2 linked regions of the Caenorhabditis elegans genome follow. The protein of the gene in region 1 interacts with the protein of each later gene in a biochemical or structural test. Each region holds a gene or a part of one and is shown in the gene's direction. Other genes may lie near its edges.

Region 1 (8,799 bases):
TTCTTTATGTTAAAAAAGGATTATTTGGGAAAAATGAAGGGTTTTTTTGGTTTCTTTTTTTTGTGAAAAATGGATTTTTGAAACATTTTTTGCGAAAAACTATTTTTTTTTTGGTTTTTTATGTCAAAAATGGATTATTCGGGAAAAAATGGGGTTTTTTTTGGTTTTTTTTTCCAAAAATGGATTTTTTTTTAAACATTATTTAGCGAAATATGGGTTTTCGGATTTTTTTTTTGCAAAAAATAGATTTTTGGACAAAAATTAATTTTTTTGGGTCTTTATGGCAAAATTGGATTTTTTAAAAGGGAAAATGGGGCTTTTTGTGTTATTTTTTCTATATTTTTTCTGGTTTTTAAATCTTTTCGGGTTTTTTTTTAAAATAAAAACAGATTTTCTTTGGGTTTTTGGACATTTATTTTGGCAAAAATGTTTTTTTGGTTTTTACGATTTTTACGGTTAAAAAAAAATTTGTTTAGGTTGCTTAAAAGCAAAAATAGAACCATTTTATGGTTTTTTGTTGGGGAAAACTGATTTTTTTTGTAAAAAATTTTTTTTTTTGGGGTTTTTTAAATAATTTTTTTGGGAAAAATATATTTTCTGGTTCATTATGGCAAAGAATTAATTTTTTTGGTTTATTTTCCAAAAATGGATTTTATTAAACATTTTTTGGCGAAATATGGTTTTTTTTGCTGGAAAAATCTTTTTTTTTTGTTGGAAAAGCGGGCTTTTCTAGCAAAGATTAGTTATTTTTTTGAGTTTTTTTTTTGCCAAAACTAGTTTTAAAACTGTTTATTTTCTTTTTTTGGTTTTTTAATCAAAATAAAAATTTTTTTTTCCCGGTTAAAATGGGAAAAAAGGAATATATAGCGTTTTTAAATGTTTTTTAAACAACTTTTAAAAAAAATTGATTAAAAAATGCAATATCATCGTGCTTTTCTGATTTTTTTTTCGATTTTCCGGAAAACCTGAATTTTTTGTTTTTTTCCTGAAAAAATCGAACTTTTTTTCACGGCAACCTACCTTATTGCCAACAGTCTCAAATGCTCTAGCAACTCGATGACACACTGTATCCACTAGAATCACACTTTCTTTCCCATTCTCAGCAATCGCCACCAACGCCACTAAACTATTCGACGGGCACGGTGCACAAATTCCCAATCTAACATCTTTTTTGAACATTTTCGCATTGATAGCCTTCGTTGAAAGAGACCAGAACAGAATATGACCTTGAGCATCAGTGCTCATTAGCTCTTTTCCACGTTGATCTACGGAAAGCGATGTAATCGGAGAATCGGCAGCCGGAGTGTCGTTGTGAATATCGCCGTTGGTTTTAGTGGGACCTTTTCGTGGATTCTTAGACTTCTTGCTCTTTTTCACAGTGGTGGAAGCAGTAAATGAATGAACGTGGCGGCCACTTTGAGCATTAAATTGATCGATATGACCTGTAGAATATCCAATAAATACGAAATTTCCACAAGGTGATACGCAGAGAGCAGTCGCATTTGCATCAATAAAATCCACTTTTTTCTTGAAACGATCATGCTCCAGTGTAAATGCTCCAGAGGTGTTGTTTCTCGTTTGCCATGTGGTGATTTTTGTGTCATTTCTGGAATAGGAAGGAAACATTAGAAGCTGGAAATATATAGGAGGTTTTTGCTTGTGGAGACTAAAAGTGTGCTCAAAAATTGCTCAAATAAATAATTTTTTAAAATGAAACTTTTGAAAAATTCCTTTAAAGTTGAGTATCGAAATCATAAAAGAGAAATATTTTTAAATTACTCCAAATTTTCCCCTGATTCCGAATATCTAAATTCAAAAAATTCAAAAAATTGCGCTGATTTTATATTTCAGCTTGAAATCGCTTCTACACCCATGGGATTTTTCAAACTCCGAATTTTCACGCCAGAGACGTCATGTGTCGTTTTACGGGATTTGTGTATATTTACGAGATTTTCAATTTTTATCAGATGCTGATTTCTGTTTTTCAACGAGTTTCCTTAATTTTCGTCGGTTTTTGTTAAGTTTTTTTTTTGAAAATGTGTTTTTTAAGTCAATTAACCATTATATTATCAAAAAACTAACAAAATTTCCAATTTTTAGGTCACAACTCGACGGAAATCGAAAATTTTATTAGTTTTTTGATAATACAATGTTTAATTGACTTAAAAAAAAACACACATTTTCAAAAAAACTTTGGCAAAAACCGACGAAAATGAAGGAAACTCGTTGAAAAACGGAAATCAGCATCTGATAAATATTAAAAAATTTCGAAAATCTACACAAATCTCGTAAATCGACACATGGCGTCTCTGGCGCGAAAATTCGGCGTTTGAAAAATTTCATGGGGACGCAATGCGATTTCAAGTTGAAATATAAAATCAGGAAAATTTTTTTGAATTTTTTCATTTAGATATTCCGAAGCCGGGGAAAATTTGAAGTCATTTAAAAAATATTTCTCAGATTTCGGTACTCAACCTTTAAAAATGGCTTAAGTTCACCTAAAATCTCAGATTTTGCCTACTTTTCCGTGTCACAACAGCCGGAAATTAAATTTTTATTGAATTTTATTTTCCTTTATTGCTATTGTTTGATAGTTTTTATCACGTTATTTCGCTATTTAAGATGCATTTAAATGGAGTACAATCAAAAATCAAACATAATGACAATTATAACTGTAAAAAACTTTTAAAAAATAAATATATTTACAGTTACTTTCGGTCAATTTTCGTTATTTAAAGGAAATTAGCCGAAAGATACTGTGACTATATATATATTTTTTTTTAACTTTTTAACAGTTATAATTGTCATTACGGTTGATTTTTGACTCTACTCCACCTTTGAGTGTACCCTAATAAACCAAAAATGTGAGATAAACGATAAAAAAATGCAATAAAGGTGTAAATCGAAAAAAAAGGTAATTTCCAACCGGAAAAGTTGACAAAATTGGAGATTTTAGCCAAAATTGAGTCAATTTTCCGGGAATTTCGTTCTTTTTGGCACATATTAAGTAAGCGTTTCCCGTACACTTGTCTGCAAAACACATTATTCCATGCAGCTTCTCGTTGCCATCCAAACGCCATTTCAGCTACATTTTGAACTTCTTTATTCAATTTAACACCCTGTCCAACTGTGCCAAGCTTCTGTCTCATTGTCAACGAAGAAACATCGTATTTTCGAATGGATCCATCTTTTCCGGCCGACAAAACGTGATCTTTTCCAACAAATTTGATACTGGCACATGGTTTCGAGTGTCCTTCCAGGCGGACAAGTTCACGTGGCATTCCATCTGCACTGTCGAAAATCCAGAGACGCAGAGAGTTATCCAGTGAAGCGGAGAGCTGGAAAAAATTGAATTTTAACCTTTTCTTCGGAATTTAAAGGTGGAGTGCGCCCAGTGGGGAAATTTCTTCAAAACATGCCTATGGGGTCACAATGACCGAATATCATGATAAAAAAATTCAAAAAATTTTTCCTGATTTTACATGATTTTTTGAAAATTGAAAAAATCTCAGTTTTCCCCCTATTTCCTATTTGAATTTCCGCCAATTGTAATGGTTCGATGGAGCACACTTGCATTATTTTTATTAATTTATTTTATTTTTTTCTCATTTTTCGGCTGATTTTCTTTATTATTTGTGTATTTTTTTCGGAAAAAGAGAGAAAAATTCACGATAAATGCAAAGTGTTTTTTAAAAAATCTTGTTGTTGTCGTCGGAAATCATAATTTTACAGTTTTACGCATTTTTAATCACTTTTAAACAAACATTTTGCATTAATCTTGCTTTTTTACTTCTCTTTCCGATAAATATATACACAAATAATGGAGAAAATCAGTGAAATAATGAGAAAAAATAAAATAAATTGATAAAAATAAGGCAAGTGCGCTCCATCGAACGATTCCAATTGGCGGAAATTCAAATAGGAATTAGGAGAAAACTGAGATTTTTTCAAATTTCAAAAAATCATATAAAATCAGGAAAAATTTTTTGAATTTTTTATCATGATATTCGGTCATTGTGACCCCATAGGCGTGTTTTGAAGCAATTTTCCCACTGGGCGCACTCCACCTTTAACAGGAAATTACCATGATAGGCTCCCCTGGAACAAAATAGAGACAATTAATCTCGTCAGAGTGAATTCCCGTGATTTTTCCGATTAATTCCTGCTTCTCGAGATCCCACACAGCCATTGTTCCGTTCTTATCGGCAGTTACCATTGTTGATTCGCCGTCGTCACTGAAAATATTGGAAATAATTTTTTTAAATAATATTTTTCAATTTAAAACACAACCCACCGAAAAGCGACATTAGTGATCTTTGCGTCATGTCGGAACGATGTGATGATCTTATCCATTTTCACATTGAAAAGCATCACTTCACCATTTTCCAGCCCTACAACTACCACATCTAAGGCAGTAGTTTGCTCGATAATTGTGATTCTCGAGTCGAAACTTCGCTGGAACTCATGAATCACTTTTCCAGTTCGGAAATTGATAATTTTCATTCGACCAGTGCTACTGCCGACCACGATTTTATTCAAATACGTGGATGGGTGACAGATTGCCGTTATTTCAAAATCGTCGGATCCTTCCATCAATAGGCTCATTTGAAGGCCTCCTTCTGATGTATCAATGACGTGGATTCCAGAAGAAATATCAACTGCGATCAGCTGAGTTCCGATTAATGTCATGATTTTGATCTTGGCGCCCAAGTCGATGGAATCTTTGATATCTCTGCAGAATGCTAGAGAAGTAATGTTGGTTCCGTGAGCAGCGAACACGCTCCTGAAATGATATATAATTATTTTTGCATTTTTCTAAACCGCTTACGTGCTAGAAGACGCGACTGCTGACACTTTATCGCTTAAAGGTTCCGACATTCCAATCGCACGAAGCTTTTTTCCATTGTATTGCATGATTACATTATCAATTGGGCACAAAACTGACAATGCCGACTTTTTTGCGACAAATGTTGAACGAATTGACGGGGCGACCTGGAAAAAATAAGTAATTTCACTTCAGATTCGGAAAAAAAGCTTACATCACCGGTTACCACACCCAAGAATCGATAAGGAGCAAAGAGCTCCGACTGGATGCGCTTCATTTGCTGGAAAAGCTGAAAAAGCTGAAAAATGAGATAAATTGTTAAAAAACGGGATAAGTGGCTCACACAAGAAAAAAACGACGTAGGATTGTAGAAATGATTGAAAATGCGGGAAACTCTCTATTTTCCCTTATTAAATCTTCAAAAATGTGAAAATTTGACGGAAAATGGGCTGAAATGGGGAATTTTAGTTTGTGAAAAAAAAAAGAAAATGCGATTTTTTGTTAGGCGTAGTTTACAATGTTTTGTCCGCAATTGCCAAGTCCGCAATCGCACACCGTAGTCCCATAGAGCGCGCCATCTCAAATTTATTGTTTTTGCGCAAATTTTTTATTCTTCATTTTCTGCTGTTTTTTCCTATTTTTAACATAATTTTTTTCAGATTTTCTCCCACAAAAATGACTAGCAAAATTGCATTATTCGATCAAACACTCATCGCCTCACTTCTACAGCCGTTGAGCCTAAATCAACCGGATTTTAAGTAAGAAAAGGGAGCAAACGATTTTCAAAAGTAACAGAATTTCAGGGCATACAAAACAAAAGTTAAGCTGAAAATATCAGAGCAAAGGAACGAAACCAGTGGAGAAAAGGAGCTAAAATTCGAAATCAGCCGCTCCGATGATTTTGAATTTCTATTCTCGGAAACGTTGAACAACGAGAAATATCAGATTTTGGCTCGAGATCACGATTTAACAGTGGATTTCGATGCTTTTCCGAAAGTTATCATTCAACACTTGTTATGTAAAAATATTGTGAAAAATTTGGAAGAAGATGGGGAGGTTGATGCACGGAAAAAAGCAGGTTATCATAGTATTGCTGATCCAGGAAAGCCGACGGAAATCAATATTATTTTGGATGCCGAGAAGAATTTTTGCTCGTAAGGGAAATAGATTACCTAATATTGAAATTTAATTTTTTATTTTCTTCCAGATTTGAGCTATTCTCGAAGACTCCTATTTCGAAAGGAAAAATCTTTTCCATCAAGCTTCACGCAGTCCGCGGAGATCATTTAATTTCACATCTTCTGAAAATTTGTTCCAGTCAAGCAGTGAAACTCTCCACTTTTTATAAATCTGCAGATGAGCTAGCAAGCCTACGGCAGAAATGTGGAGATTTGGAAAAACAAGTTGAAAAACTGTCTGGTGTGAAGGAGGAATTCGAAGAAATGTCAGAAAAGTTTAAAGAGCTGGAAGATGAGGTGGAGCTGGTGAAAGAGGAAAGAGAGAATATTCGATTATTAGTTGAGGATAAAGAAGATGAAGTGGCTGATTTGAAACAAGACACGGAGTCGCTGCAAAAGCAATTGGAAGAAAATCAGGAGGAGCTGGAGATTGTTGGAAATATGTTGAGAGAAGAACAAGGAAAAGTGGATCAGCTTCAGAAACGAAATGTGGCTCATCAGAAAGAAATTGGGAAGCTTCGAGCAGAACTTGGCACGGCTCAACGGAACCTGGAGAAGGCCGATCAGCTGTTGAAGCGAAACTCCCAACAACAGAATCAACAAAGTCTGGATATGAGAAAACTAGGAGAGCTGGAAGCTGATTTGAAGGAAAAAGATTCGATGGTTGAGAGTCTCACTGAAACTATTGGAATCTTGAGGAAGGAGCTGGAGAACGAGAAATTAAAGGCCGCCGAGAATATGGATAGTTTTGAGAAGCTGAGCATGGAGAATGAGAATCTTAAAGAAAAAATTGCCCATTACCGAGCCCAACGGTTTAGTCCAGCTCCTTCTGGGCTTCCCGGGCTTCAGACCGGACTAACAAATAGGCTTACACCATCATTCAAGCCTGTTCTTGGACCCCACACTCCATATGGAGCTAATTTGAACTCGGTTAGTAGAAGTTCTACGAAATGAGCTACATTATCGATTTTTCCGGCAATTTCCAATTTTCACACAATTTTTGAGCATTTTTCCGAACTGTTTCAACTCAAAAAAATATTTTAATTTGTTCAAATTTCAGCGCACCCCATTCCGTGACAATACAACTCTTAATTTCCAAAATTCGACAATTGCAACTCCTCATGCTTTTCGTTTCAACAGTCAACTAATCGCCGACGAGACTACTGGTTCAAGTGTGACGAACACCCCACCCGCTCAACGATAAAATCTTTTTTATTGATTTTTTCTTGTCCTTTACTTGAAAATAAAACTCTGCTTATTTCATTGAGATTTCTAGGCCACCGCCAGCACTTCAAATGGGGAAGGTTTTTATCAGTTGGGAGTCCTCCGCAAACATTATGACGCCAGAAACTCGCTTGAACATTTTTCAAAAAAAAAAATGACAGACCCGAAAATTTCAGCATTATACGTGGCAGTTCAAGAGGTAAGGAATTTTTTAAAGTTTACTAGGTTTTCTTCAGAAAAAAAACATTTAATTTTCCAGATAAATTCTCTAATTCAAAATGGAACGTCTTGCAGTCGATCTCTCGAGGAAAAAATTGTTGAGCACTTGGAAAATAGCCAACTTTTAGGGAAATTACCGAAAAACAACGGGGATTCTCATGAGGAGGTTGGGAATATTACACAAACGCAGAATTTTTGTCGGTCTCGACACGACACAGTTATTTGCAAAGGGTTGTGTGCCTTTAAAGAGTAAATACTGTAACGTGTAATTCTTGTTGTTGTATCGATTTTCTTTTTGTTTTGTTTTTCGATAAAAAAATATATTTTACAAGAAAACAGTTATTAATCGTTGGAAAATCAGTGAAAACTCACAAAGTTTCAAATTACAGTAGTCTTTAAAGGCGCACACCATTTTTTTTATAGTTAACAAAAATTTGTCGCGATGAGACCCAAAACCGTAATTTTGGTGTAAAATCGCAGAAGATCCCGTTTTTTGTTGAAATATAATTAAAACTTTGAATTTTAAGGTTTACATGGAGGTCACCAAGCACGGACTTCGGATTTCTTCGAGAAGAACACGATTAGTGAAACTGAGGATTCCACTGATCGAGCTGATACTTTTGACGACGTATGCCGATGGATTTGGAAGGTGCGATTGGTTAATTATGAATTAGATGAAAATCACCAAGAAAAAATTCCGTTCGCTTCGAGACCTGAGACCGTAATTTTAATAACAATTTCAGAACCAACATAGTCTTCGTCGAAAAAAGCACAACTACACGATACCAACTCCATCTTCTTCAGGCCACTGACGACGCTTCTTCTAATATTTTGTGTAATTTAGTGAAGGTTTTGGGATGTTTCATAGTTTTCGTAATAGTCATTTATTTTATTTCAGAACGCTTTCATCGAAGCCGAGGAAGCCAGTGCTCTCATCGAAGTAATTGAGCCGCCATCTCCGTCGATTGCTTAATTTTTTCTTTTTTTTTGCTTGTTACATAAAATAAAAATTTAATTTTTCAAGTTATTTTTTGCCACCTAGAACCATTTGTTGCTTCATCTTTGGAATATTTGTCACTAGCTCGCAGAGCTTGGAAAAATTAAAAAAAATTTCCAGCATGTCATGGTACACTTCCTGTCCAAAGATGCTTCTTGGTGCCACCGCTGTTGCTGTTCCATTGGGAGCCACAGTTTTCCGGAGGGAAAGCGAAAAATCTGAAAATTTGCTGAAAATCAAAAAAGCCAAGGAGCTAGTGGAGACGACGATGGTTGGTTGGGAACTCGAAATTTTGCGATTTTTGTACCAAAAATACGGTGCCGGGTCTCGACGCGACACTTTGTTTAATGCGAAAG
Region 2 (8,799 bases), on another chromosome or scaffold:
CATTACTTCTTACACTCTCTTGTAATAAACTTCTTCTCTCCTTGTCACTCGCTCAATACACAACAGTGGCGATCAGGATACTGCTGGAAGTTCGCCAATAAAAGAAACCCATCTGGACCCCCTGCTGGAATCCGATGTTGCGAGTGACGGCGAGCGTTTCCAACCCGGTATTCTCCTTAGTCATTCTCTTCGACAGAGCCACCCACGACAAGTTGTGCGAGGATCAGCCCCAAACACTGATCATGCCTCCACTCGCCGCAGAGGTCGATATACCGCCTCTGGTCGTGATGCCCCTAGCCCAGGCATAATTTCTGGCTTTTTGTCATATAAGAGGGGAGATGTTGTGGACGGAACGTAAACCTGAACTTTATACAGACGTGACCTTTGGGTCATCATGAACTTATCGCGTAAGCGACCTCTCTTTATAATTCATTACTTCTTACACTCTCTTGTAATAAACTTCTTCTCTCCTTGTCACTCGCTCAATACACAACAGTGGCGATCAGGATACTGCTGGAAGTTCGCCAATAAAAGAAACCCATCTGGACCCCCTGCTGGAATCCGATGTTGCGAGTGACGGCGAGCGTTTCCAACCCGGTATTCTCCTTAGTCATTCTCTTCGACAGAGCCACCCACGACAAGTTGTGCGAGGATCAGCCCCAAACACTGATCATGCCTCCACTCGCCGCAGAGGTCGATATACCGCCTCTGGTCGTGATGCCCCTAGCCCAGGCATAATTTCTGGCTTTTTGTCATATAAGAGGGGAGATGTTGTGGACGGAACGTAAACCTGAACTTTATACAGACGTGACCTTTGGGTCATCATGAACTTATCGCCTAAGCGACCTCTCTTTATAATTCATTACTTCTTACACTCTCTTGTAATAAACTTCTTCTCTCCTTGTCACTCGCTCAATACACAACATTTAGTTTCAGTTAGCTCCGAATAGACTTCTTAAAATCCATTTTTCTAGTGAATTGTAACCTGAGTAATTGATACGCTTTTACAATAATTTTTTAAGTTGAAAAAATATTTTTACTGTTTTTGAAGTACTATTTGCATTTAAAAAGTAGGCACCTTCCAGGGACCTGTCACCGAAGCAGGCGTAGCTCGTCCGGAAAGCAACCTACATCTACTTTTCTGCTAATTGTAAGAAATTCATTGTTCCGGCCGTGTGACTACATTTCTCACCACTCGGTCCGAGTTTTCAGATTTTTTTCAAAAAAATTAAAATTTTTCAAAAATCTCCCAGATTGTTTGCCTACTTGTAAACGTTCTGAAAAACATTGAAAGTTTGCAAAAAAAAATTTTGGAGCAATTCTACAGGCCTCCAAAGTAGTGAAAAAATGCACTGGAACAGTTTCAGACTGATGCTAGAGGGGTTGAGAGTGGAGCTTTGCCGCTTAAAAATTTGCAGTGACATATCCTTATGGAACACTTTCAAATGACACATATCTCGTTTAAAAAAAAAACTAAAAACCTTTTTCTTGTCAGTTTAAAAAACGTGACAGAAATGTATGGATTATTATACCACAAAGCTCAGTTACAGCATGATCCCCCACAATTATAAAAACATTTGTTCCGATTGCTTGCAAAATGTTCAATTGATCTAATGTGTTCTTGTTATCTTTGGATTTGATGATTGTTTCTGTTTCATTCAGGAAGTGGAAGGATTGGACAGAAAGATAAAAAATTGTTGTGAAACGGTGTTTTTTGTTGTTTAGAGTATGTCAAAATGGATGCAATTGGTTCTAGTTACTTCCGTGTTGAGTTTGCAAACGAGGTTCAGATAAAGAGAAAAAAGGAAGTATTTCTATAGATATTTTTCTGTAAAATTTTTTACTGGTTATAGATGTGAGTTTGATATTATAGGTGTGGGTCGCAATACTATTAGAGAAAATGGGGTATTATTTTTAGTGATAGATTTTACTTTAAACTAGGGCTGAATAATAAACGAACCTGGTTGTACTTTGATTGAAAACCATACTCTTGACATGGAGACAAATTACAGGATAAATATAACTGAAGTTTTGTAGTTCCCAAAAGGAAAAACGTTGCCTTAATGTATATAAATTATTATTTTTGCATCACATTCAAAATTATTTTTTAGATTATATAAAAAATATTTAAAAGAAATGAGATAAAAATTGTTTATGAGTGGATGATAATACAGTTAAATCATACTTTGAAAATTACCCGAAAAAAAACTACAAAAATGCCAACTCTTAAAAATAACTTGTTTTTCATAATACAGATAATTCCAGGAATTCAAATATCGTCTTATTGGGAAGTTCTTGTTTGATTTCCACAGGTTGCCATACATGAGTTGTAGTTGGGGAAGTTGTTGGCATTTCCGAGAGTTCCATAGAATGAGAAACGCATGCAAGTTGTGTATTTTGGAACCCAGAAGTATTTGTCACTTTTCTCTCCTCCGACAGCAAACTTTCCAGAGTCATATGTCAAGTTGCAAAGATAGTCTGTGAATTTGAAATTTAAGAATAAAACATTTAAACATTTGATGCTTACTGGATGTTGGACAACAGAATGATTGAATACAGTTATGACCCTGTGGGCAAGTATTAGCTCCTGCTGAGCATCTCACTGGTGTCAAGTGGTCAGTGTCATAGGTAGCAGAGCAAGCAGCTTAAAATTTTTAGAATAATTGCCATAGTTACTAGCTAACCTCACTTACACTTCATTTGAACGGTTTCATCACTTGACTCCGAGTCTCTTTGAGCTTGAGCATTGGTACAAGCTGATCTACACTCTTGTGCACTACTGAACCGGTTACTATTACCACCACATCCCTGATACATGAATGGTTGACACGTTCCAAGTCTTGGAAGATAATAGAACATTCTAGAAGAACTGTTCTCAGCGCAAGTATTTCCAGAGTCCCGTGCAGCAAAACAGTCAACAGAAGTCGATTGAGCCGCAGTGAAAGACAATAGGGAGAGAATCTAAATAATAATTACATTTAAATTAACTGAAAGTCGTATGTAGATCTAAAGTAGATCTATTTCTGGATTTAGTAGTTTTTAATTTAACTAAGTTTCAAACCTCATAATTAAAAGGATTTTAAAACTCACCACAGCCAATCTAAGTGCCATTTTAGTTTTGCCACGTGAAAATGTTGTACTCGAGTTCTGGATTTCTTTTAAATAGGCCATCGAGATTCCCGCCCCTTTAAACTATTGTACTGGCAATCGTGTAAGCTCTTGCTACCGTGCAACACCACCAACAGTCAAATCCAAATTCCAGTTTTGATCTGACCCCACGGAGCAAACATTGTGTGTATAATGTACATATACTGTTGGCTCCTTCGCACTGACTTTTTTACCACGCTGATTTATTTTGAGACACTTTTTCTGTGTCTCGCTGTCTATCTGTGTACAGAGGAAAAATTTTCTCGGAATTTTTAGAAAACCAGTCGGGAGTGTTTACTTGTTTTTTAATACTTTTAATACATTGGAAAATTGTGTAGGTTGAGAAGATTTTTTGTTTGAAAATCTGTCAATCTAAATTTGTTCAACTGATCAGGAACATTCTTCTAAATTGCAGATAATATGAGAAAGTAGAAAATTCTGTTGTTTTATAATAATATCATTTAATTTAATTACAATCTTCTTTCGTCCCCGAATGGTCATGCGAAAAGAAATGTGAGAAAATATACAATGTGCGCGCTCATCTTGCAAAAAATGTGCGCGGGGGTTGCAGCAGAGGCCACGCCCCCGCGACACCAACGCGCCAATTTTAAAGAAAAAACGTTTTATTTTCCAATTTCATAGTTTTAACAGAAATGACCTCGCATTAAGCGGGAATGAATAATTACGACGACTTACCCTGCTCTATTTACTTCAAAAAACCAACTGGTGAGTTGTTTTCGATATAAAAGTGTTAAAATTGCCAATTTAGTCCAGGAGTTTGTGGATCAACCGAGAGTCTTCGAAGATTCTGAAGTCCCTGCCTTTCAAGAAGTTCTTCAGCTTCCACAAGAAAGGACAAAACCCCCAGTACCATCTACGCAGCCAATTGTCGCCGCTGTAGAAGTAGCCAAGAAAAAATCGTGTCTTTCGGCTCCGAAACCAAGAAAAGAGCCACCTTCGCATCCAGCGCTTCGCCAAAAAACAGTTGCGTTTGGAAAAACAGTTAACGTTTCCCAAACTGTCGAGGTAATTAAATTAAAATTGTTCCATGGCATAATTCCACTAAATTATCTTTCAGGGAACATCTCGGAATTCAAAAAAAGTGCTTGCTTCAACAATGTCTGCCCAAAATACGACAACGACTGAAGAACAGGCAGCTGAAAACTGGCGGGACGCTATGAAAACAGAACTGCAAACGATACGAACAGAGATTCAAGAAGAAACGGCCCGGCGACAAGAAGAGCTCAATGCTCAAAATCTTGTTAAAATGCAAGAATTGATGTCAAACTTCTTTCAGAGTATGTTTGAATATATATTATCCCATAAATTCAATAAATAATAATTTTTCAGAGATAACGATTCCTAAACAGCAAGCGATCGAACCAGTTGAAAAAGACAAAGAAAATTTTCATGAGAGTCCTCGTCAATCAAGACAGCAGAAGCCAGCTAGTAAAGTGAGAATTCAGATAAAAAATAAATCAAAAAGTACTCCGTTTTAAGATCGCTTCGGCACGAGAAGTTATCAAAAGAGACGGTGTTATACCTCCAGAAGCATTAACAATTATTGAGCAACGCCTTCGCTCGGACCCAATGTTTCGCCAACAAATTGATAATGTTCTAGCAGACGTGAGTAGTGTATTTAAATCCGATAGAAATAGTTTGTTTTCAGGCTGAATGTGATGCTAACAGAGCTGCATATTCTCCACCACCACCAATGTCTGAAGTTAGATACGGATCTGGTGTGAATCCTGCTTTGATGAGAGAAACACTTACGGTAGAACGAAGTATTCGATATGACAACGGACTCGCTTCTATTGATTCTAGACAGTGGACAAATGAGAGACGTGATAATCGTGGTAATTTAATTTTTCAATATTCAAACACAGAATTCGTCCGCTAGAATTGTATAAATATAATAATTCACGCATTCCAAAATGTATCAAATAATTCATTAAAAATGTTTGAAAGTTGATAACCATTCGTAGTGAAAACACTTTATACTACGAAATGATTTTAAGATGAAATCCTCAAATCAGTTGAAAAATTTGAATTAAAAGTCAAAAATGAGAAGTCTCTTCACTATTCAAAAAAACCTTTTCTAGCTCCTGACTCATACCGTACCTACGAACCGGATCAACCATGTCACTCACTCTATCAAAAGGGTCAAAGTATTAGCTATTATCCGTCAGAAGCAGCTGGAAAAACGACAGCTAGAAACAATCGAACTGGATACTACGTGGAAGATTCATCAGATCATGAAGAGGATGTTGTAGTCAATAAACGGGGACAGAACTATCACGAGCAAGCGGTACCTGAGACTCCAGCTGAACGAGAACGCCGTATTCGTGAAAAATACGCTCGCAGGAAATGATATCAAATGTGTTTAACTCTTGACGTTTTAAAATTATCATTAATCACTACGTGTAATGTCTGTGAATTGTACTAAAACCATTACTTCCAGCTGTGACCTGAATAAATTTTGAATTTCATCGATTCTTTCTCATTTGATCATATGATCGAGATAGTCTCGAACTTAATTCGATTTTCAGCACTTCACACTTCTGTCATTGTTTGACAAGTACCAACTTGACCTTTCCATCGGTCTCCTTCAAGAGTTTCATTTGTGTACGAAATAAAAATGAAAATTCTAGTAGTGTACGTGTTAATTGGAGAAGTTCTACGAATTTTTAAACTACAAGTTCATAACTTTTAAAACAAACTGTTATGGCATGTACACATGTGTTCCTGTATTAAAACACTTGCTGTCTTCAGACTTTCCAATTGAAAAGATACACTTTCACTTGATTTTCCATATGCAAGCAAGCGTTTTGAACTATCACTACCTTTCTCTATTTTTGATTTCTCTTCCTGTTGACTTTTGCACCCGAATTTTTTGAATTTCTTTTGTCAAAATCTAGTAAATATTGACATTGATTATTTATAGAGAGTAGGTGGAAAATTAGAAAATATAAAAGATTAGGTGTGTCTTGTTCATCTTTGCAAATTTGTTTTTTGGCATTTTCAAAAAGTTCGAGAGAGCACCCAGATGTTTGGACTTCAACTGTTCCATTGTACTCTCCCCATTTATAAACTCTGCGATTTTTCCCATTTCTCTCTAAACACTGATACCACAGTTTTATCAGGATTTTCTTTTAAAAATTTAATTTAAAAAAAAAAAAACATTTAACCCATTTATCTACAGAAATGCGATTCCACCTGTTAGTCTGTGTACTTCTTGTTCCTGTATTCAGCTTTGATTGTACTCAACCAAAGGATAGTGGTAATGTATGTAGTGGAAGCCAAGCAGAAAGATCTTTTTATTTTGATACCAGAATGAGTAAGTTAACGTTTTGAATAATATTTTGTTCGTAACTAGAATTTATACTTTTAAATAATAAGCAATTTTTAACATTTAAATTCTCGAAATTTCAAGAACTCGTTTAGGGTAGCGCTTTTTGAAAATTTTTCGTATCGTAAGTTCACTAGATTTTGGCATGCCTTATTAAAGGCGCACGGATATATACAGGCGGATCTCGGCGCCCAAAAAGTTGATGGTAGTATTTTTTATTATACTTTGAAAACTCATTTGAGACAATTCGAACAGAAAAATAAAACGAATACCATGAAATTCGCTAAAAACAGAGTAATTTAATTGAAAACTTTTTTTGCTAGCCGAGGCAAAAAATCTCTGCGCCTTTAACAAGGCATATCAAAATCTGGTAAAATTACAATTATATCATGAAATCTTGTCTAAAAATAACGTTTCAGAAAACTGCCAAACTAATTAATAATTAAATTAAAAATTAGGGCACCCTAGACTTTTCTTACAGTAAGAGAGAATGTATTAAACTTTGCCACAAAAAGTGTCGTCATCTCTCGTACCAGTCTTAAAATCATGAAGAATGATTTTTGATCAGGAACTTTTTTGATTTCAAAAGTAAATGTAAAACTAGAAAGTTGAAATGATAATGAACCCTTCAAAATGACAGTGATAATTACATTGTATAATTTCAGAAGTATGTCAACCATTCCTGTATTCTGGTTGTGGTGGAAATGAAAATAGGTTTTCAACATCGAAAGAATGTAGAGATGCCTGTCAAAATAAGAAATCATCTTCAACAACCGAATCTCCAGATACTATATCTGATGATTCCGCTGATCAATCCGGCTCACCAAACTCTCCACCATTTGTACCACAAGGAGATGGGCACGATCAATGGAGAAAAGCAGATATTTGTGGTTCAAACTATTTGATTCCAAATGGAAAATATATCACTTGCTCTCCAAATCAAGCTTGCCCAAAATTCCATTCATGTGTTAACGGAGCATGTTGCCCTTCAAAAGACTACGTTTGCTCTTTAAGAGATGATAATGGAAGTTTTATGGACGGAGTTGAAGATCGTCCAAGATTCTCATGGAATAATGATGTTCATAGTTGTACTAGATGGAGTTATTATGGAGCAAATGGAAATTATAATAATTTCCCAAATTTTCAGTCTTGTATGAAATTTTGTCAAGATTCTAAGAAAATTGATTTGTAATCAGATTTTTATGTCGATGTTTATAGCTTTCCGAATTATCAATGCTTAGCTTGACTTGTCACCATTATCAGTTATCAATTCAATTGTATCAGTTCTATATGAAAATCTCATCATTCGAGAAACGAAAACCTGATAATATTATCATGTTGAGATGTATTTTATCTTTTGTATCCGTTCATCTTCTGTTAGCTTTAAAACTGTATTGTCGAATGAATGAAAAATCGGGTGATTGATTTGATCTGTATATCGTCTCTACAGTGTTCTGATCTGTTTCAGTTTGGCAAATAAGATCAATAACGTCACTTCTTGTCGTGATTTGTGATCTGATCTGTTGATAAGAACTGCAAACTGATTGTGATAAGAGTTGAAAAAGATGCATTCCATTGTGACTTTTGATAAACTTTAGTTTTCTGTATGACCTTCCCAGTGTGGAGAAAAAAAAGAAACGAGGAAGATAGATATCTGTTTGTTGTGTTCATTTTAGACTCATGATGCAAAAAAAACATTCTTCCTTGTTCGGTTTGAGAGTAAGAAATATTTTCGTTTGATCATGATATCTGGTATGAGTAACCGGTCTTCGATGACTTCCCCTAGGAGATGTGTCTAAAGTTTTGATATAGTGGATAAAAGCATAGAACACAAATCCGACTATGTTTCATTGATAAACTGTAGTTTTAAATTTCTTCGAGAATAAAATATACACCTAATTAAGAAGAACTTAACAAAAATCAGAAAAATGTTTCAAAAACTATCAGCGATCACTGAATGGAAAAGTTAACTGTACCCAATGCTCTTTGAACTTCCGAACTAACAAGGTAGCTTAACTCGCTTCAAAGGCGAATTAGCGTGCCGCGAAGAAAACTATCAATGACGCCCCAGGAATAACGGCAAATATGGAACGTGTCGGAAGCGTTCCATGCAAGGGACGTCTACCTTGTAAAAAACATCCGCAGCGGATGTTTTTTGCCTGTATGATATTTTTAATAAACATTTTGAACCTAAAATTTCGTAAAAAGCGAAACACTTTCACCAGTGAATTATCAATTCAAATATTCTTGTAGGGCCGAGTTATATATTTTTTACATTACACGTAAGTCAACGACAGTTATAC

What was found.
Region 2: the proteins of sas-6 (region 1) and sas-5 are reported together in a solved structure, tested with the Caenorhabditis elegans proteins (one study listed by BioGRID).

What each region holds. Positions count from the first base shown.
Region 1 is NC_003282.8:13,785,411-13,794,209, reverse strand, and holds sas-6 (Spindle assembly abnormal protein 6), read left to right. Parts: upstream 1-5,478; 5' UTR 5,479-5,500; coding exon 5,501-5,583; intron 5,584-5,628; coding exon 5,629-5,979; intron 5,980-6,032; coding exon 6,033-6,933; intron 6,934-7,063; coding exon 7,064-7,207; 3' UTR 7,208-7,265; downstream 7,266-8,799. Other genes in the region: Y45F10D.7 (Small-subunit processome Utp21 domain-containing protein), read right to left, coding at 1,021-1,606, 3,025-3,338, 4,085-4,235, 4,295-4,783, 4,829-4,992, 5,040-5,102; icap-1 (Integrin Cytoplasmic domain-Associated Protein homolog), read left to right, coding at 7,382-7,426, 7,487-7,612, 7,974-8,095, 8,190-8,295, 8,345-8,419; lact-9 (Beta-lactamase-related domain-containing protein), read left to right, coding at 8,565-8,714. UniProt on the Caenorhabditis elegans protein: Central scaffolding component of the centrioles ensuring their 9-fold symmetry. Required for centrosome biogenesis and duplication.
Region 2 is NC_003283.11:11,606,958-11,615,756, forward strand, and holds sas-5 (Spindle assembly abnormal protein 5), read left to right. Parts: upstream 1-3,779; 5' UTR 3,780-3,821; coding exon 3,822-3,873; intron 3,874-3,916; coding exon 3,917-4,173; intron 4,174-4,225; coding exon 4,226-4,445; intron 4,446-4,497; coding exon 4,498-4,601; intron 4,602-4,647; coding exon 4,648-4,773; intron 4,774-4,816; coding exon 4,817-5,003; intron 5,004-5,249; coding exon 5,250-5,518; 3' UTR 5,519-5,639; downstream 5,640-8,799. Other genes in the region: piit-1 (BPTI/Kunitz inhibitor domain-containing protein), read right to left, coding at 2,282-2,478, 2,528-2,644, 2,694-2,961, 3,091-3,111; tag-290 (BPTI/Kunitz inhibitor domain-containing protein), read left to right, coding at 6,352-6,484, 7,162-7,688.